Stegostoma tigrinum: one gene and its partners. The protein of the gene in region 2 interacts with the protein of the main gene of each other region in a biochemical or structural test. Links are inferred from orthologs where the notes say so. Each region holds a gene or a part of one and is shown on either strand. Other genes may lie near its edges. The genes, in order: ube2v2, hltf and rad18.

What was found.
Region 1: the proteins of hltf (region 2) and ube2v2 form a complex in vitro, tested with the Homo sapiens proteins (2 studies listed by BioGRID). The link is inferred for Stegostoma tigrinum from reciprocal best matches to the Homo sapiens genes HLTF and UBE2V2.
Region 3: the proteins of hltf (region 2) and rad18 form a complex in vitro, tested with the Homo sapiens proteins (2 studies listed by BioGRID). The link is inferred for Stegostoma tigrinum from reciprocal best matches to the Homo sapiens genes HLTF and RAD18.

What each region holds. Positions count from the first base shown.
Region 1 is NC_081358.1:72,176,588-72,183,516, reverse strand, and holds the start of ube2v2 (ubiquitin-conjugating enzyme E2 variant 2), read left to right. Parts: upstream 1-3,925; 5' UTR 3,926-3,992; coding exon 3,993-4,008; intron 4,009-6,929. UniProt on the Homo sapiens protein: Has no ubiquitin ligase activity on its own. The UBE2V2/UBE2N heterodimer catalyzes the synthesis of non-canonical poly-ubiquitin chains that are linked through 'Lys-63'. This type of poly-ubiquitination does not lead to protein degradation by the proteasome.
Region 2 is NC_081367.1:68,339,049-68,346,585, reverse strand, and holds the start of hltf (helicase-like transcription factor), read right to left. Parts: upstream 3,047-7,537; 5' UTR 2,953-3,046; coding exon 2,909-2,952; intron 2,901-2,908; exon of another isoform or gene 2,794-2,900; intron 2,697-2,793; exon of another isoform or gene 2,556-2,696; intron 2,120-2,555; exon of another isoform or gene 2,010-2,119; intron 964-2,009; coding exon 735-963; intron 1-734. UniProt on the Homo sapiens protein: Has both helicase and E3 ubiquitin ligase activities. Possesses intrinsic ATP-dependent nucleosome-remodeling activity; This activity may be required for transcriptional activation or repression of specific target promoters.
Region 3 is NC_081364.1:59,459,614-59,467,020, reverse strand, and holds the start of rad18 (E3 ubiquitin-protein ligase RAD18), read right to left. Parts: upstream 3,002-7,407; 5' UTR 2,958-3,001; coding exon 2,940-2,957; intron 2,522-2,939; coding exon 2,440-2,521; intron 1-2,439. UniProt on the Homo sapiens protein: E3 ubiquitin-protein ligase involved in postreplication repair of UV-damaged DNA. Postreplication repair functions in gap-filling of a daughter strand on replication of damaged DNA.

The DNA of each region.
Region 1 (6,929 bases), on a different chromosome or scaffold from region 2:
TACTTCACAAGAAGGTCACTTTTGAACTGCTTTATGTCAGAAGGCACACAACACCAGTTTATAGTCAACACATTTATTTGAAATCACAAGTTTTTGGAGCATTGCTGTTTCATCAGCTGAATGTATTAGTTGTTGTTAGGGTATAGGGATGGCAGCCAAACTAAATCAGTCTCTGTATCACTGGATTCACAACATTGTGAAATTTTTTACTCAATGGCTCTCAATTGCTTAGTTGTTCCTAATCACACTTTACAAACAAATCTTGGACACCTAGGTTATCACTTAAAAGAAAACTGATAAATTTACTAAAAGTGTAACTTTAGCAGAACACAAACTGCCAAGCAATCTAGTATCAACAATCTAATCCCAATCTTATGAAAGGCATAGATAGAGTTGATAGCCAGAGACTATTTCCCAGGGCAGAAATGGCTAGCACGAGGGGTCATAGTTTTAAGCTGGTTGGTGGAAAGTATAGAGGGGATGTCAGAGGCGGGTTCTTTACACAGAGAGTTGTGAGAGCATGGAATGCGTTGCCAGCAGCAGTTGTGGAAGCAAGGTCATTGGGGTCATTTAAGAGACTGCTGGACATGCATATGGTCACAGAAATTTGAGGGTGCATACATGAGGATCAATGGTCGGCACAACATTGTGGGCTGAAGGGCCTCTTCTGTGCTGTACTGTTCTATGTTCTATAAGGCGCATTGTCACACACAGCAATAAGGAATAAACTTTAAAAAAAACTGTAATTTGCCAGTTCAATTTCTTTCAACAACGAATACCAAGCATTTATTAATTCCTTGAGTAGAGTTATACAGAATGGAAACAAACCCTTTGGACTAACTTGCCCTCCTAAACTGATCTAGTCTTATTTGACCTAGATCCCTCTGAATCCTTTCTATTCATATGTCCATGCTGATGCCTTTTAAATGTAATTGTACCTGCCTCCCACTACTTCCTGTGGCAGCTCATTCCACTTATGCACCACCCTCTGCATGAAAGATGCCCTGCAGGTCCTTTTTGTATCTTTTCCCCATTACTTTAAAAGCATGTCCTCTAGTTTTGGACTCCCCCACCATAGGGAAAAACGTTATTCAGCCTCTCCTGCCCTTCATGATGACAGGTTGTGTTACAGACAATATAGTGTACATCTTTCTTGAATTCTGAGGTCACTGGTCTTAGAACTTGCAGCAAGTTTAAAAACTGGACAATAAGTGTAGAGATTGAAAGCAGCCCCAGTCCAGAAGCTTCTAAACCAAAACTGCCTCTTGTCCAAAAGCTCAGGCAGAATCATTTCATTAAAAACTGAAAGAACTGCAGATGTTGTAAATCAGAAATAAAAACAGATTGCTGGAAAAGCTAAGCAGGTCTGGCAGCATCACAGTTAATGAGAAATCACAGATAATGTTTTGAGTCTGGTGACCCTTCGTCAGAACAGTTTATTCTTTGATTTCCTGGTGGTTGACTGGCCACCCTAGTTCTCCCTTGATTGACCAATTCATCATTCAACCAGCTGCCAGTCCCTGAGCATAGTAACATTTCACTGCCAAATCATCCGTAGTGTCCTCAGAACAGTGATTAAACTGAATTATCTTAGCAGTTTCCAAAAGCAAACATTAGTCTTTTGTTCTCTGCTTGTTTTTAAGAGCAGTTTTAGAAGCTTCGGACCAGGGCTGTTTTCACTCTCTGTCCAGTTATTAGCTTGTCAAAAGTGGACGTTGGTCTTAGTGTTCAAAGTTCAATTGTCAACTGCAATACTCATTTACAAACCATCTAGTTTTATGACCCCTGGTTTTAAATCTCCCCATAACTGGAAACACTTTCTCCAATCTATATTAAGCCCTTTGTAACTTTAAAGACCTTTAATTGGTTACCCCTCAGCCTCTGTTTTCTAGAGAAAGGAGACCCAGACTATTCTGTCTTTTCTGATACAACTATGCTCTGCTATTGGGAAAACTGATTTTTTTCACCTTTTCCAGTGACTGTAAGTGGTGGTAGAACTCTAGACAGTACTGGAAGTTTGCTCAAATGAACCATAATCGTATTGAAGTTGTTTCTAAACGTGTCCCATTGCCACTGCTTGGACTGTGAATTTTATTTATCATTTGATCTTTCCAGCCCTCCACCTTATCTCAAATCTTCTTGGTTTTTTCCTCTTTTATTGGATGATTGATTTGCCCATATCCATGACTTTAGTTTTGTCCTTTATACAACACATCAGTCAAATATGACCTTAATCTCAAGGACAGTAATTTTCACCTCCCCTCTGGAATTTGTCTCTTTTGTTCATGCATGAATTAAGGTTGTAATGAGCTGAGTGGCCCAAATGGAACCTGAAATGGGAGCCAGTGAGCAGGTTATTGCTAAACAGGTTCTGTGTGATACCACTGTTGCTGACACTTTCCTGATGATTGAGTGGAGTTGAGGAGGTAATCAACCAGCTCGGATATGCTTTTTGTGTATAGGATGTACCCGGGCAATTTTACACATTATTGGGTCAGCTTGTCCAGAGATGCTCTAAGTTCTGGAGCACAAGTCTTTGGTACTAGCACCAGAATGTTGTTAGTGCCAAAATCAGTTGAAGTTTCCCTGAGTCTCCACCTGTTTCTTCATATTAAGTGGAATAAATCAAATTGGCTAAAGCCTGATATCTGTGATGCTAGGGAAGAGGCCGACATAGATCACCCACTTCTGGCTGAAGAGTCTTGTGAATGGTTCAGCCTTGTCTTTTGCCTGACAAATCGGGTTCTCCCATTATTGTGAACAGGGATATCCGTGGACCCTCCTCCAATGAGTTAATTGTCTACCAACACTGACCACTGTCTGTGACAGCACTGTAAAGCTTAGATCTGATCTGGTGTTGTGGAATCACTAACTTTATCTATCACTTGCCACTTACGCTGTTTGACCCACAAGTAGTCCTGTTTTGAGGCTTCACCAGGTTGACACCTCATTTTCACGTATGCCTGGTGTTCTCCTCGCATGTTTTCCTGCAATCTTCTTTGGATCCCTTCACTTGAATGCTTAAGTGGGGGGTGGGAAGATATGACAAGTTGCAGATTATGTTGGAGAATGATTCTGTTGCTGCTGCTGGCCAACTATACCTCACAGATTCATTCAAACTCAGTTCTATTTCGAATGGTTATAGGGTATTCTTAACATGAAGTCCGGACTTCGTCACAAAGACAGTATAATAAACTCTCTTACTGATATTGTTGTACTAGACAAATATATCTGCAGCAAGTAGAATCGTGACGATGATGTGGAGTATGTTTTTCCTTGTCTGTGCAATTGTTTACCAAAGAAGGTAGTTGTGAAGGATCAATTAATTACATTCAAGGCTGAGATAGACGTTTAATCAGTAAGGAACTCAACGCTAATGGGGATAAAGTAGGAAAGTGGAGTTGAGTATTATCACCAACAATAGTTTCATTGAATCACACATCAGTTCAGATGGGCCACTATGGACAATCCTGCTCTGGCATCTTATGGTCTCATTAATTAGCCTATACATCTATCCTTGTGTTGTACTGTCTTGTTATGCCAGTTGAAAAGCCAAGTCTCATTGTGAAATTGGATAATGCTTGACTCTCACCCCTCAGTCTTTCTCCCTCTCCGTATTTCAGTATCCTATGTATCTGCTGAAGGGAAATATTACATGAAAATAACATTACATGAAAATTCCCCTTCATGATTTTTTTCCAATTTTGAGCACAGCGGTGTTCTGAGGATTGATTTTCAATTACTGGAGACTCCAGGAGGGTTAGATGATAAGTTTTGAAGAGAATGAGAAAGATTCTAAAGTACTTGACGATGGAGTTGTGCCGACTTTATGAAGGAGGAGGTGAGTATGAACACTACAGGTGTGGAGATTACACATTGTCCGTGAGCGAAGCAGCAGGAAAGCAGACGCACATGCGCACGTGGTGCCACACCAGACCGGAAGTGACGAGAGAGCGGCCGAGTCGGCGCCGGTTCCTTTCGTTTGGAGCAAGATGACAGGCTGCCGAGGTCTGAGTGAGCTGCGGGTGTCCGGGGGGGGAGAGGGGAGGCTGAGGCCCCAGGTCCGAGTGATCCGGGAGGAAGGCGAGGAGCGCGGTTAGATACTGCCCTGGGTCACCCCGGCTCTTAGGCCGGGCTATGACCGGAAAGCCGCGGCCCACTCCGGTGGGATTGGAGGGGCGGGGGGTGTTCACTTTATGAGGGTTTGGGCCGGCCCGAGGAACCGTACCTGGGCGGCCTCCAGTTTGTGCTGTTTCCAGTCCCTCTGAACGGCAGTTGGTTTTTATTTCTGCCTGTTTGGCTGGTGGTGTGGCAGAGACTTTGTATATGACCTTTAAAATGTGTGTCTTTGGGAGCAGGGGTAGTTTTCTTGTTCAATGCGTTTGTGATTCATATAGTAGCCTGTATGTCCTTGTGTTATTTACATGAAAGTCTCTTTTAACTCGTGTCTTTCGAACCACATCTGAAGAAAATATTTTCCGTGTTGACTTTTCGTTTTGTGTTGTAGATTCTTTTTGTTTTTCTTCTATAAGGTGTCTTAGAGGTAGACTTTATTTACAAACTCCTGTGACAGCGATGTGCAATTTCCAAATGCAGCTGTGGCAAAGAGGAAGTTAGCTGAGTTATTCTTAGTCCGAACGTATTTGACAGCATTTTATTTTGAGCTGCTGTGTTTGATTTTTAGGATTCGGGAATTGAGAGCGAATAACTGACTATCATTTAATCGTAATGTTTCTCCTTTTCTTTGTTCGTTGTTATGGGGCATTTTGAGATTTATTGATATACGCATGATTCTCACAGATGATTGGGAACAAATGGTTTACCTCTGGTCAGCTTTGAGCAGTATGAAACGGTCAAATTTCATTTCGACTTTTTTTGAAAATGATACCTTTGTGATATATCTGTAGCGGCACCTCTTCAGTAGATTCGAACGTTTCTATTTGTATCGCCCACCAAACTGTTCAAGTTTCAAACGTTCTGCTAAATGATTCACTCTTTTGTCTAAGTAAAGAATGCATAGAACTGGCAAATAACGTATACTTTGACTTGAGTGCAGGATCACAAACTCGATAAAAGGCAGAGAAAAATATGTATTGGAACCATTGACATGGAACAAAAGTGACTTTCGAACAGCGTATTTGAAAAGAGATCACTTGCACAAAAAAATACAAGATAAGGGTTCATGGAGCTGGGGGTCATACACTAGCATGGTTGAAGGGTTGGGTAATGGGCAGGAAATATGGCTTTGGCATAAACGGGGTTTTTTCAAGTTGACAGACTGACTGCTGGTATGGCATGTGCCTGTGCTAAGCACTCACTACTTACAATCTGTGTTAATGATTTAGATGGAATCTGAGTGTAATATATTTAAAGTTGTTGACAGGAGAGTTTAGAGGTGGGAACGTAAACTGACCCAATACAAAGCGGCTGCAAAAATATAGTTTGAATAGGTAACAAAGTGGCAGATGAAAAATAAAAAAACAAAATAAAAAAGCAGCACCCAAATGTTTTTTGACATCATTGTAAAGGAAACTGGAATCTGAAAGTGAAAGCCTGCTCCATCAATACAGGGCATTGATGAGATCTCTCATGGGCTATTGCATATGGATTTGGAGTCCCTGTTTAAGTAGGAATATACTTGCATTTAACATAGTTCAGAAATCATTGATTAGGTTAATTCCTGGGTTAAAAAGGTTGTGTGTGAAAACATGAATTCGAATCATTTTAGCTCCCTTGAGCCCAACCATTATTACAAAGTTATGGCTAATCTGTTTGTTTCAACTTCCACATTCCCATTTATCCACAATCATCTTTGATTCATTTGCCTTACAAGAATCTACCTCTGCCTCAAAAGATATTCAATGATCTTCACTCCATCACTTTCTGAAGAAGGGAGCTTTGCATTTCCACACTTCTTTGAAGAAAAGTGCCCTCATCTGTCCTAAAAGACAGATGACTTAATTTTTAAAAAATACCTCCTAGTTCTGACTCATCAGAGGAAACATACCTCAAAAAGACTGTTCAGAATCTCGTAGCCTTCAATCAATTCAGCCGTTGCTCTTCTAAACTTTAGTTGAAACCAGTCCAATCTGCCCAACCTTTCCTTGTAAGACAACTCATTCATTCCAAGACCCAATCTAGTAAGCGATGTCTGAGCTATTTCTGATGCATTTACATTGTTCTTTAAATATGATACCAAAACTACTCTCAACTTTCACGAACAAAAACAAATTGCTCAGACGACTCAGCAGGAGAACCTAATGGTCTGGCAGCATCTGTGAAGAGAAAACAGAATTCATACTTGTGATCTAGTGATGTAGGTCCCATTCTGACGAAGGGTCACTGGACCCAAACCTCTAACTCTGCATCTCTCCAGATGCTGCCAGACCTGTTGAGTTTCTCTAGCAATTTGTTTTGGTTTCAGATTTCCAGTGAGGTTTTTGGTTTAGCTCAGTATTCAAGATCACCAGTTCCCTACATAACTGAAACAGAACATTCTTCTCTTCAAACAAGGATAGCATTTGATTAGTCTTACGTACTTTGCTGTACATGCATACCAAAGTTTTTGGCTCATGCATTTGGACCACAGGAAGAGGATTAGGCCATTCAAACCCTTGGGACTTACCATTCAGTGAGATGATAATTGATCTGCAGCTTACTTCCATGTATCTACCTTTGGCCAAAATCTTTTAATACCTTTGCCTAACAAAAATTACTCCAATTCAGACTTAAAATTAACATTTGATCCAATATCCACTGCTGTTTATGCATCCTTTGTGTATGGAAGTGCTTCCTAACGTCTCTCCTGAGTAGCCTGACCCTAGTTCTAGAATCCTCAAATAGTGGAAATACTTCATCTTCTGACTTGCCATTTCCCATTTATATCTTGAAAACTTTGTTCCAATAACCCTTTAATATTTCTAAATTCT
Region 2 (7,537 bases):
TTTCCACAAACTTGACATTGTCCAAAATTCTGCTATCCCCATCCATATTCGTACAGAGTCCCACTCATCCATCACTCCAGGAAGCACGGATGTCGGGTCAAGCAACATGGCCGCTTAAAAATTCTTATCGCAATTCTCAAGAATCTCCATGGCCTGGCCCCTCCCTATCTCTATCATCAACTCCAGCCCCACAACCCTCTGGTGTACCTGCACTCATCTATTTCTGACCTCTTGAACCTATTATTTTAAATGGTGATACTTTCTTTTCAAACTTAACCTATTCGGAGATGTCAGTACTCTGGAGTAAGTGGGACTCGAACCAGGGTCGACTCGACCAGAGATAAAGGACACCATCGCTGCACTACCATAGCCCCTCCTCCCTCAATTTTAATTGGTCCACAATAGGTAGAAGTGCCTTTAGCTGTCTAAGTTTGACCATTTCTTCAGTAACCTGCCCATTACTCTTCTTCCCTTCCATCCACTGAGACACTCCTTAAAATCTACTGCTTTGGTCATCTGGCCCTATGTTGGTTTATGGGGCTAAGTATCTTTAAAATACTCCCACGACGCAACTTAGGTCTTTTTGCTGTGGGAGAGGTATTATATAAATGTACTTTTAGGTTTTTGAATCCCAACTGTTAAATCAATAATAAATAGGTAACTGAAGGTATGGCAAATTGAAGATTTAAACGCAGCTATTTAATATTACGCTAGATTGGAGGGACAAGTCTTACCACTCCTGTATAATAACGCATCCCAACCACATTCCCACGGAGGTTTCCAAATAAAACAGAATCCAGATCCTCATCTGGTGACGCAGTGTCATCTGTTAACGAACGATTTATCATCTGAGATAATGACTCTTCAGGATCCGGAGCAAATAGAAAACTGCCATCAGAAAACTGGGATGCAGTTCGTCCACCCAGATACTGGGAATTAGTCCAATTCCGCCAGAACAACATGCTGCGGGAACAAAAGAAAACCATGATTTGTAACCCTCCTCGAGAGAAATGACAAGGTATTTAAACTGACGGAAAACTCTTCTGTCCTCGAGCCTAGCAAATCTTTGTTGCTGTGCCCATCATAAACTCTCAGTTTTAAGAGCTCCTGCAAGATTAAAGAAACAGATTCCCACATATGTTTGCTTTGGAAATGCTGCATGATCCCTCACAGTAGAATGACATCTCTGAGCACACACTGTAATCAGCAAGTGGTGGCACCTATCTGACAGCTTGAGTTAGTCTTGCTTTACACATCATCTGGAAGCACAGAGCATTTTACACTTTACAAGAGAAAAAATAAACGAAGGTGCTCTGCTGTGACTTCAAATAAACCTGTTGGACTATAACTTGGAGTCGTGTGACTTCTGACTTCGTCCAAGAAAGAAAAATGGAGGGTTAAAAAACGTCTTTGTTATACTGCTTAATGGAGTGAAATTCAGCCGTTCAAAATTAGCACTTCAAGTAAGAAACTGCTACCTACTTACACTCTCCCTAATAGCATTAGAACACAATTAGCACATTGATGTAATTAGACAGAAATAGTGGAGAAACTCAGCAGGTCTGGCAGCATCTGAAGACAGAAAGAGAGTTAACATTTTGGGTTCAGTGACCCATCTTCAGAACTGGCATGTAGAATTTAGCATGCAGGTAGTTTACACAGATTGCATAACCATTATTCAGCCATGTTTTGGCATAGCATGGTATCCTGCAGATAAAACCCATTTTGCCAGGCAGTCTTACTAGTGCCTCACATACCTAGGCACGGAAAAGCTTATGTAGGAAGGGTCACCGGGCCCTAAACGTTAACTCTGACTTTTTCCTTCACAGGTGCTGCCAGATCTGCTGAGCTTTTCCAGCAATTTCTGTTTTCGTTCCTGATTTACAGCATCCGCAGTTCTTTCAGTTTTTTTTAAGTTATGTAGGTAGGTGGTCCACCGTGGAGCAGATTATCATAAACCCATCACTAGTTAACACAAGTTTTACTTGACTATTTTTCACTAAACGGACCCGATAATGTTAGCAGATTCGAACACTTTTGCTAAACAGAGACCTCCCTGAACAGTATATTTTGTTCCCTTTGAATTTGCATCTTTGACCCAGCGCCTGGATTTGATGCAGATAACAGACCGGGGAGTAAAAGGCTCCTGACTAAAAAGCAACAACATATTGAGGCTGGGAGTGACGATGAACGCTGTGTTGGTGGGTGTTTTTTCTGGAAATGTTGTCATGCACTCAAGAAAAAAACACAACAACAAAATCTCCCCTTGGCTGTGGCTGAGTATGTCAGGCCCCAAAAACAAGGCTTGCTGTTGGTGAGTCATTCTCTCCATGCCGCCTGCAGCCAGCCCCTGCTCCTGACATTTACCTGAGACTACAAACCTTTTATGCAAAAATAGGACGGCATGATGTGAAGGCAGATTGCTTTGAGCTTCCAGCACTGCATTTCTAGCCAGCGCTCTAGGTTTTGTGCAGAGCTCTGCAATAAAGCCTTCTCCAAACACTTTTCTTTTGCTGCTCTTAAACCGCAACGCGCGCAGAAAAGCTTTATTCTACCTCTGCAAATAATCTTCAGACCAAAATCAAATCTTCCCTCCTGCCAGTGACTTGCAAAGGGTATCTTTCGTATAAAAACAAAGGCCAAACATAAAGCCCGGCCACTCCACAAACCCAGCTCCTTTCACTTTCGCCCTGGCTGGCGCGGTTCCTGCTGATTGACACGGCTCTCAGCCACACAGAGCAGCCCTTCACCAGGCAGCAACGTATCAGGGCAAGGAGTGGGTGGGACACTCACCCATGGACGAGATACAACCTCTCGATACATTGTGGCGGCTGACCAGCTAGTGATCCCCATTCATGAAGACAGCATGGTACTATTCGTACAGGTGGTGCAGTGGCAGTGTCCCTACCTCTGAGCCAGGGCAAAGTCAGAAGTCACACGACACCAGGTCATGGTCCAACAGGTTTATCCGAAATCGCAAGCTTTCGAGGCATTGCCCCGACTTCACCTGACGAAGGAACAGCGCTTCAAACTTTGTGATCTCAAATGGAGAGAGTAGGAACTGCTGATGCTGGAGAATCTGAGATAACAAGGTGTAGAACTGAATGAACACAGGAGGCCAAGCAGTATCAGAGGAGCAGGAAAGCTGACGTTTCGGGTCAGGACTGAAGGGTCTTAAGGGTCCTGACGTGAAACATCAAGCCTTCCTGCTCCTCTGATGCTGCTTGGCCTGCTGTGTTCATCCAGCCTCACACCGTGGTTTCAAGTAGATTTGTTGGACTATAACTTGGTGTCGTGTCACTTCTGACTTTGTCTACCCCGGTTCAAAACCAAAACCAGCACCTCCACGTCTGAGCCAGAAGGCCTGGGTTCAAGTCTCACCTGTGCCAGAGGTGTGTAATGACATCTCTAAACAGGTTGATTGAGAAATGTTTAGATTTTCTTTTAAATTAACTAGTTCAGGGATGTTAGTACATACCTCTGGAGCAGGTGGGAATTAAACCCAGCCCTCATTAACCCAGGGGTAGGGACATTAGCATTGTGCCCCAAGAACCCCTCACCCAGAGGTAGGGGCATTACTAATATGCCTCAAGAAACCCCTTACTCAGAGACATTGACATTAGCATTGTGCACAAGAGCCCCTAACTCACAGGTAGGGACAATACCAATATGCCACAAGAACCCACTAACTCAAAGAGAGCAACATTAGCATTGTGCCACAACAGCTCCTAACCCAGAGTAGGGACATTACTAATAATGCCTTAAGAGCCCCCCCCCCCAGCTCAGAGGTAGGGACACTACAAGAGCCCGTAATTTTGGAGATATTACATTTGTTCTTTGCTTCCAGCTGTCCCCTAATTAACAGAGATGTTATGACACACTTCTGGATCTGGTGAGATTTGAACCCAAGCCTTCTAACTCAAAGGTAGAGACATTACTATTGTGCAAGAACAGGTCCCCAGTTCAGAGGTAGGGATATGTCTATTACATCAAAAGAGCCCTTAAAATTGGAAATATTACTTTTGATCTAAATTCAGTTCTGAGGAAGGCATACCGGACTTGAAAAGTTAACTCTGGTTTGTCCTGTATAAAAACAAGCAAAGCTGGAAATATTCTGCTGGCGCAGCAGACAGAAACAAGAATTTCAATGTGCTTCAGATCTGCAACTTTTCATAAAATGTTAACTCATGTTTCCCTCAATCTGCAGATACTGCTTTGTTGAGCATCTCTTGCAATTTCTGTTATTACTTCAGATTTCCAGCGTGTGTCACTTTCATATTTTAGATATTAATTTTATTTAATCTCAGGGATCTTATTTCTCCTGCTCCATGCTGCAGAATGCCCTGGACGTTTTTCCCAATGTCATTTTTAGGCACACAAGCAGAGATAAAAACCGATTCTGATTTCCACAAGTGGGTTCCAATTCGTTCATCAAAGTTTAAAATACTCTTGTTCAACATAATGGTGGTTGAATTACACCTGAGTTCAGTAAACACTCTCATTAACACAATTAACAAATTGGGTCACCTTACCTCAACTGGTAATGTTATTGCTCCCTGATAAATTTTACTTTTTTGTACGCTGTTTGACATTTTTGATACACTAGTGCCTGTTGAAATTTAACTAATTTTGAGTTATATTTACTCCAAGAATTTGCCTTTATTTGCGCTAATTGTCATTGGATATTTCCAATCAATTTCCTATCAACAGGCCCATGAATAACAGTAACCTAGCATGGTGGGAAAATTGCTCAGTTGTGTGTGATAGGACTTCAGGGTGTAAAAATAAAAGCACACTAGCAGCTTAAAGCAGCCAGTATTGCAGATAGTGCAAGGTCTTTCATTCAAGTGACAGCTTGTTTGTCATTCAAATAGGTACAGGAGTACTTGCAATGCTGAATAAACGACATCTCTTCCCAAAAAGAGAAGAGAATTCATAGATTATAGACAAACCAAGTGTACCGGAAGCTGGATATTTAAAGGTCTTGAGTAGATTGCAGCTCAATGCTGTGGTTGGTTGGCTCACCGAGCTGGTTCGTTAATTTGCAGATGTTTCATTACCCCGCTGGGTAACATCTTCAGTGCAGCCTCCGACAAAGTATTGTTGTGTCTTTCCTCCTGTTATTTAAACTCTGGGGTCCATTGGAGTTGATTACCTCATTTCTGGTTTTTCTTTGCAGTGATGCGCTTCTAGAGTCTAATTCTAGATGTTTATTGAGTACCCATTATGGACAGGGCCAACGTAATATACAAGATTTCATGCAAGGGCTGTGACAAACATTACATTGGACAGACAGGAAGGAAACTGGCTATGAGAATACATGAACACCAAGCAACAACAAAAAAAACACAACCAATACTCACTCGTCTCCATACATGCAGACAAGGAAAACCACCAGTTTGATGGGAAAATGTCAGGATCCTAGGACAAGCCAAACAAGAAGGCCATCAATAAGCACACAGAATTGGACCCTATGTACACACCACTGCAAAGAAAAACCTGAGGTGAGGTAATCAACTCCAGCGGTCCCCAGAGTTTAAATATTTAAGTGGGAAAACATAACACTTCATCGGAGGCTGTACTGATGATGCTATCCAGCAGGCTAATGAAACATCTGTGATTTAACAAACCAACCACAACAGGAAGCTGGGATAGATTGTGAAGTTTTTTTTTACATGGTTTGGACTTTCAAACCCAAACTTCCATCACAAATACAGGAAATGCTGGCAGTCAAGGTGCCAGAAAGTCATATCGATACTTCTTCAATACACAACCCTCGGGCTGGCTGTAAGCGGGTTTCCGCCCAGAGCTTTGTCACCTCTACGGTCTTGGCTTCCACTGTTCTCTGTTGTCTGTCAGGCCCAATTTCTCCAGCTATGGGTCAATCTAAAATGACCAATTTTGGGCCCGTGGTCATGATCACAAAAGGGAATTGGAACTTTAAAAAACCTTGAATTTTCAAAGAGAGAAGGAGATCAAAAAGCATGATCTGGATAGAGTGAAGCTTATTGTAAAAGGAGGGAAGAACAGATAGTCGCTCAGAGAATAATTCTGATACCTATGAAGGATTTGATTTTACCGTAAATCTGGTGTGGTGCCTAAATTCACTGATGCTGGTTTTAAATACATTTCACATCATTTTAAAAGATTGCTGGGAAGCTGAAATGGTCGAACCATATTTGGACCTTAATCTTCTTGGCTGTTCTTAAGTTTTTATTCATACTTCATCCAGCATAATTGCCTATCGATTTCACTTGACAAAGGAGCAGCATTCTGAAAGCTTGTGATTTTAAATAAATCTGTTGGACTATAACCTGGCATCATGAGATTTCTGACATTGTTCACCCCTGTCCAACATCCATGTCCCTACATCATCTCAATTGTAAGAGCTATTATGGATGGAGAATAAATGCCAGTCTGCACCACAAAACATGAACAAAAACATCTATTAATAATTGCTTACAGAACTCAAGGATTTTTAAAAAAGAGACTCAGAGCCAAAGCTATTTGTCTTTCACTGATTAGGACTGGTACACAAGATACCAAAAGGAACATCAATTTATACTACTTCTATAAAAGCTTTTGTTTATATTTCTATACTTGTATAAAGAGAGTGTTGATTGGTTGCATCTTAGTGGGTGTGGACATGCAGCAGGAAATGTTAACTGTCGATCTTTGTTAGCTAACTAAACTCATACCGGTAGATTTACTCAGACTGCCATGAGGAATGCAGGGAGGGGTTGTCGGTCTCCATTTTTCTCTTCAGTGAAAAATGTACAATATAAAAACAAATTCCTTTTCCTATTAAAAAAGGATCCAATCAATTTGTATATATTTTCTCAAGCTTTGTGAATTAATACTTGCTTTCTAATAAGGGTTTCCTGCATAATTTACAATCAAGTATTTTAATTATCAACACAAACATAAATATATCACCAAGATAACTGGGAAATTTATTTCCTGTAATTAAACATATTTCAAATGAGGCTTAAAGTAGACAATCCAGAACAGACATAAGTGTTCTAAATGAAGTCACACGTCCACACAGCTAGAATTTCAACATTAAAGCTGCAGTACTGGATTTTAGATGTTCACTTTTAGTAACAAGTTGCATCCATTTAAAACGGACTTTCTTGCAGATGTCAAACTTGGGCGGTCTTCACTAAATCCATCGGTCTGTCTTGATTAAAAAATGAAAATGAAATTGAATCAATTTAAAATTATCAGATAGTACATATTTACACTTTACACAACAAACTTCTGCTGCTTTATGTCTCCAGCTGAAGTAATGTTTTAATTCAATTGTTACTCCTTTTCATATCTATGGAAACAGTTTGTTTTCATTTCCTCTAACAAAACCCTTCAAATTCTGACAACTTCTAGTAAATCTACTTAACTAGAAGGAAACAGTATCTGCTTCTCACACCTCATCTCACATATCAATGTGAGGAAATGGCCTAATGGTATAAATACAGGACTGTTAATCCAAAGACAAAAGCAGAAGTTGCTAGAAAAGCTCAGTAGGTCTGGCAGCATC
Region 3 (7,407 bases), on a different chromosome or scaffold from region 2:
CTGAAGTGGGCATCAATTATTTCCATTGCTAACTTACGTCTGTTGTCTTGGGCATATTTAATTTCAGTGTTATTTAATGTTTTCCTTCTGCATTATGGGTTTAAGTTTCACAGGGTTGACGACTATTGAGAATATTGCTGAATTGTTCTAATTCTAAGTCCAAATAATTTAATGAGAATGAAAATGCAACTTCTGAAAATCAAGAAGTAACCCCAGAAAAACAAACAGTAACGATCAAGAGGTGCCCTCAAAAGAAATGTTGTACCCTGCTGTGACTAAAAGTGAACTGTTCATTATATCTCGCAGAGCAGGAGCACTGACTCACCATACCATCAAACCATCAAGCGTTTCAAACTCGCTTCACTAACTAACTCCATGATAGTAAAATGGTAGTTTTCTGAGTTTTTAACATCTCTCAGCCTCCATACTACCTTTCCCTCATATTATGAAGTTTTTTTGTGTTTGCCAAACACTTCTTCGGGGATGTAACCTAGTGACTTAGGGAAGCCCCGTGCTGATGGTGTCCAGCGCAATCTTCCTTCTCTGCCTTCACTTTCCCTTATCTCAATACAAGAAAATTCTAGGGTCGGCGGAGAGCATCATTTGCTGGACCCCCCTATCCTTGTGGGCACCTGCTTCATGTTGTTGTCGCTACAGAATGTTGCTTTAATGGATTAGCAACCATTGTTGTCCAACTGCAGTGCGTTCAGACTGAGGATGCTTAGGGGTCAGATGTTGGTCAAAGGTAAATTGTAACATCCCATTGGTGATCACTGGCTGAACTTGGGCATCTGAATGATATGGAAGTAGCTGCAGTGTTATCATGAAATGTCCATACTGGCTGAAGGGAACAACTGCTCACGCTACCTCCACAGGTCCTGGGTGCGAGGCACACATTGCGTCGTCTGTCATGTTTGTGTGACAATGCTGTGGTCTGAATGCTGTGTTTAGTTGAGTGTTTAATGGGGGTGCAGAGTTGGCTAGGTGTCGGAGCAGCTGCAGATATTTCCTTGTCAATGACATGGGGTAACCACTCATCAAGTTGCTGCCCAGATTAAACCTGAAAGTGGATAGATGGTGGAGATATGTCGCTCATTATTGGGTGCAGTGTATGCAGCCATCATCTGCAGGGAATTGCACCAATGACGGCCAAGCTCCGATACAATGCTGCCTGCATTTCCCCACCGTGGATCAAAAGGTGGAGCTACTGAAAAGGTGGTTCTGCTGCTTGGACCAGTCAGGGAATAACTCTCCAGTCTAGTCCAAACAGAGTCTGTCCCATCATCCTGCGCTCTGCACAACTGCAGTGGGCAACAAGACCAGAACAAGGCCATAAGCTGGATGCTGAGGAACTGGGGGAATAGGTGAAACCTTCTGAAGAGGACAACATGGGGGAGTAGGAAACTGATGCTCTCCATGATGGAGCTCAGCTGCGTTTGGTGTAACGAGCCAGACAGAACCTGCCTGACACCTAGTTCCAGTAGACGAAAGTTGGGTGAATTAGACAATGGCCAATTTCAAACTATTTTGGTCATATTGTTGAAAACTGGTTGGCATCGTAGGAGCTCAGCCTTCAGTTTTGTCCCCTTTTGCTTTTTGTAAATAATGACTCTATTAAAGCTCAGGGTTTGACTTTGTATTCATCCAGTTGCTCGCCTGTTTGTGACGTTTCACAACTGGGCAATGCCAAGATTCAGTTCTACTGTGGGCACCAGAGTAGGGCAACACTGACGTTAGTCATGGCATTCAGGCAGGAGGTAGCTACGGGCAGGAAAAGTGTGTAGCATGGTAGTTAAGCAGCGCCAGAGATGACAGATTGTCGATGTACAAGGGAGGGTCAGCCATGCCAGCCTTGTGCCAAGAGCAGTGTAGCTGCTGTGCCATTGCACTGCCAGAGACAGTCAAATACTTGTCTGGTCCTTTAGAGACGGTGCAGGCACCAGCAATGCTGGAGTGTCAGTGGAAGTCCACCGAGTAGCAAGTTGCTGTGGAAACAGCGGGCGGCAAGTTTGGGGTGGAAATTGGAAAATGGCAAAGGAGCAGGGTAGGTGGTTGACAAGGCAGCTTTGTAAGACAGTGAGAAATCTCACAAGGTTCCATGACGAGTAACCCTCCAAAAGGCAAAACTCAACGCAACTCTGACATAGCCAAATTCAGCCAACTGTTTCTGCTCAGATCTTATTGGTGCTGCCTGCCACGTCTACTGTTGCATTATATCACACAAGTCTGTCTTGTCCCACACACATACAGTCATCGTAGGCCATCTGCAGCCACAGTGCACACCAACAATCATCTGAAACATACCTGCCTAAATCAATGCTCGTTACATGTTACACAGGGAGCAGTTTAAAACTTCTTTCACAACTCTACAGAAATGTGCTGCACTGGTGAAAACATCTCAGCCAGCAGTATTAGGATGGTGGCATGCAGAATACTTACAATTATGCGAACAGTGAGGGATCATCATGGCAATATTGAAGTATTCAAAACAGATACCACAGCGTAAGAGGTTATCCATGGCCTGGAAGAGAAAGACGATTCGTCAAGTCCAAACTTGCCATCCTAAACAGAGTTGTCACCTTAACCCAGACTATACATTGCCAATCCAAATCAAGTGTAGGCCTGTGGAGATGGGTAATCAAGATTTCCGCTAATCATTTTACTGTACTGACTAAGAGCAGAACACAGATCCTATGGGATCAAAATGGAAAGCGCGCGCAATCCACTCAGCACCTCACAATTAATCAGTATAAATCTTGTCTGAACTTCAGTTGTTGTTACATCAGAAAATAGGTCAGTTAACCATCCTCATCCACAAACACCTTCCCCCCCCCATACTCTCTTTCTCATCCTAAGTCTTTCCCGCACTGGCATTCAGCACGGGGCACCCCTTCCTCTGTCGTTCCCTCCCTCAGTTTCAATCTCTCCCTCTCTCTCACCTTCAGTCTCTCCCACATTTTTCTCGAATTCAGAGCAAAACGCGCGCGCTGGCTACAGCCGGAAGCACGTCATCAGCAGCTGAGCGCGAGCGCTTTCCGGTTAGTTGCCACGGGGGATCCCGATTCCCAGAATAGCCTGCACCCTACGCCGCCCTCCCCAGCTTCCCGACAGACGGCGCGCTGCACCCTCCAATCCGTACCCCCGACAAACTGCAGCAGCTTCCCCCATCAAACCATGCAAACTCTCCCAATAAACCCCGCATCATGCAAACTGCACTCCGCTATCAAACCATGCAAACACCCTGAAACCACCCCCTGCATCATGTAAATTGGACCTCCCCCAAAACTCCCCTGCATCATGAAAACTAGACAGCGTCAATCAAACCATGCAAACTCCCCTGAAACCCCCCTGCATGATGCAAACTACACTCCCCATCAAACCAAGCAAACTGCCCCCACCCCAAAACTCTCCCATTAAACCATGCAAACACCCCTGAATCATGCAAACTCCCCAATAACTCCTGCATCATGCAAGCTATAGCCCCCAAATCAAACCATGCGAACTCCCTCGAAACCTCCTGCATCATGCAAACTACACCCCCTTCAAACCATGCAAACTTCCCCCAAAGCCCACTGCACCATGCAAACTGCAGCCCCCATCAAACCATGCAAACTCCCCTGAAGCCCTCTGCATCATGCAAACTACACCAGCCATCAAACCATGCAAACTCCCCCAATAACCCCTGCATCATGCAAACTACAGCTCCCCCATCAAACCATGCAAACTCCCCTGAAATCTCCCCTGCATCATGTAAACTACACCCCCATCAAACCATGAAAACTGCCCCCACCCCGAAACCTCCCCCCCACATCATGCGAACTAAACCCCGATCCCCCAAACTGCATCCTTCTAATTGCAACTCTGAAACCTGGCACCATGCAAAACTGCATTCCCCAAAGAGTGTTAATGGGAACTGCAGATGCTGGAGAATCCAAGACAACAAAATGTGAGGCTGGATGAACACAGCAGGCCCAGCAGCATCTCAGGAGCACAAAAGCTGACGTTTTGGGCCTAAACCTCTCTGATGAAGGGTCTAGGCCCAAAACGTCAGCTTTTGTGCTCTGAGATGCTGCTGGGCCTGCTGTGTTCATCCAGCCTAACATTTTGTTCCCCAAACAGTGTACTCTTCAAACTTGCATCGCTTAAACAATGCACCGTACAATCTGCAACTTTCGCTCCTAAACGCTGAAAGCTTTTCTCCCCACACCGGACACTATGCAACCTTTCACTGCACTGCGCAGCATGTAAACTTCACTGCTCACGATTGCCATAGTGCAACCTTATTTGCCCACGTTGGCGTCATTCAATCTTCACATCTTGCACGGGGCAATCTTCAGGTTTTTTTTAGATTGGGTACTGTGCAAGCTCCACTCCCTTACTTAGTCAATGTGCAACTTTCATCCCTTTGCATTGGGCTCTGTGCAATCTTCACTTCCTGCACTTGGCAGCGTATAACCTTCATGTCTGGGATCATTGTGTAACTTTGGCTGTCCACTTTTACATCTTGTATCCTTTGCTTCCCAAGTGGGTACCTTCACGACACTGCACTGCACATAATCACCACTATGCAAGCTTGACTACCAGTGCTATGCAACTTTCACTTCCCTGTTCTGTCCACCTTCCAAATTTTATTTCCTTGCATTGATCACCATGCAACTGTGACTCCTTGCATTGGGCTCTGTACAATATTCACACACCTGCACTGGGCAACATGCAGCCTTTGTCCCCCTGCATTGGGCAGTATGGAACATTCACTACCCACAATCCTCACTGTGCAAGCTCAACTCCCCAGTTTGGCACCCTGCAAACTTCACTGACTGTTTGTGCACTATGCAATCTTCAATTCCCTGCACTGAGTACCATGCAATCTTAATTTCTTGTATAGGGCACCTTACAGTTTTCATTTCCCCAGTACTGGGCATCAAACAACCTTCACTACATGAGCAGCTGTACAACCTTCATTCTCCTGAATTGGGTACTGTGTGAAGCCTCACTCCCATTCATTGGTCACCATGCTTGATTTTGGAATTATTGCCATCTGCTACTATGCACAGTCCTAAATTCAAAAAATGAATTGAAGGAGAATGGCCAATCAACATTTCCATCCCATCAGCACACAACAACAAAAGATCAGAATAAAGCGAAGAATAGCCCTTCAAGAAAAACTGTCCAAAATCACCTACATCAATACACAGACAACAGATTCATGGGTTAAGAACATCTCAGACCAACTATTTACAGATACTGAGAAGACCGTCCTAGTACGTGGACTGAAACATAACTACAGAGATGCCAAAAAAGACTGGCTTCCTGGCTGGGCTGGAATCAACACTAAAGAACAACGGACTCACAGAAAAAATACAACAGACTGTCAGACAGACAAGAGTCCCAACCCTGAACAAAAAGGAAAATGGAACACACAAGAGAGGAAAGCCCTGGAAAGGCTCAAGAAAGGCAGGAACATTGTAATCTTACCAGCAGACAAAGGATGCATGACAGTAATCTTTAATACAACTCAATACATCGAGAAAGTTAATGCATTACTAGCAGATACCAACACCTATCAACAGATGGCGACAGAACTGCCACCACAATTAGGAGGTAGGAGGAACTGCAGATGCTGGACAGTCTGAGATAACAAGATGTAGAGCTGGATGAACACAGCAGGCCAAACAGCATCAGAGGAGCAGAAAGGCTGACGTTTTGGGCCATTTCTGAAGAAGGGTCTAGGCCTGAAACGTCAACCTTCCTGTTCCTCTGTTGCTGCTTGGCCTGCTGTGTTCATCCAGCTCAACACCTGGTTACCACAATTAGGAAACCAGATTACACCAAACCTGAAGAACTTATCCAACTCAGGAGACATCAGCAAGACACACAACCAAAAAAATGAAGCCAGAGGGATCCAACACACCCCGATACTACAGATTCAACCAAGGTACACAAGCCGGGGGTCCCCCTCAGACCCGTCACTGCCAGGTACACCAACATATAGACTTGAAATACTTAGTGGACAACAATACCCTCTCATTTACTCATCCCAAGAATTCTTCAACATCTCGAAGGTCACCAGGATAGATGAGTATGAGATGATGATATTGTCCAACATAACAGCACTATTTACATCCATAAACATCGACCTAGCCAAAGAAACAATTGCCACACTGCTGGATGAATCAAGTAAGCAGGCAACCCAGGACACCAACAACATCAATGAGGACACCACCATGAAACTACTGGATCTGTGCCTCACAACCCACTTTACCTTCAATGACAACATATACAAACAAATCAACGGAACACCAATGGGATCCCCAATGTCAGGACTGATTGCAGGAGCAGTAATGCAAAGGTTAGAATGGACAGCGCTCACCATTATATAACCCAAACTTTAGGTCCCAAATGTAGGTGTTATTATTATCAAGCATACTAAACTGGAAGAAACCCACGAACACTTAATCAACACCCTCCCTGTGACAAAATCCATGAAAGAAGAAGAGAGCAACAATCAACCACCCTTCCTGCATATAATGGCAGAACACAAAAACAAGGGGGAACTCCAGATTAGTGTATATAGAAAGACCACACATACAGGCCAAATACTCATTTACACTAGCAACAACCCCAACATTCACAAACGGAGCTGCATCAGGACACTATTTAAGTGAGCCACAATACATTGCAGCAACCCTACATGAAGGAGCTACATGAAGCAGAACAGGAACACATATATGAACTCTTAAAAAAAATACCCAAAAAGCACATTACCATTACCTCCAAAACAGGTGACAACAGGTAGACACAACATGACCAGAATCATTTATCACCCTCTCATACATCTGGGACATTTCAGAGCAGCCCACAAGACTACTCAGACCCCCAGGTATCAGAACTGCCCATAAACTGACAACCACCCAACAACAGCCACTGACAAACGTGAAGGATTCCATACCCAAAACTAGCAAGCTGGGGTAATATACAAAGTACCATGCAAGGACTGTGAGAAACACCACATGGGCCAAATCCGAAAAAAATTTACTGTATAGATACATTAATACCAACTAGCCACCAAGAGATACGACCAACCCTCAAGTGTCACGCCATACACGGACAACGAGGGATACGAATTCAAATGGGACAACACATTGATAGTTGCACAAGCCAGAGACACACCAGGGAATTCCCAGAGACCTGGAATTCCAACCGGAACTCCATTAACAAACACACTGAATTAGTCCCTGTGTACAAACCACCGAGAAACAAAACTGAAAGTAATACCAACCACCCCAGCAAACTGAGACATAGAAATAACAGGTGGGGCAGAACACCGATGCTTCATGGGAGGCGCACTGACAATGTTACCTAGCAGGCTGACAAAACATTTGCATCCAAACCTACTGGCTCGGCGAG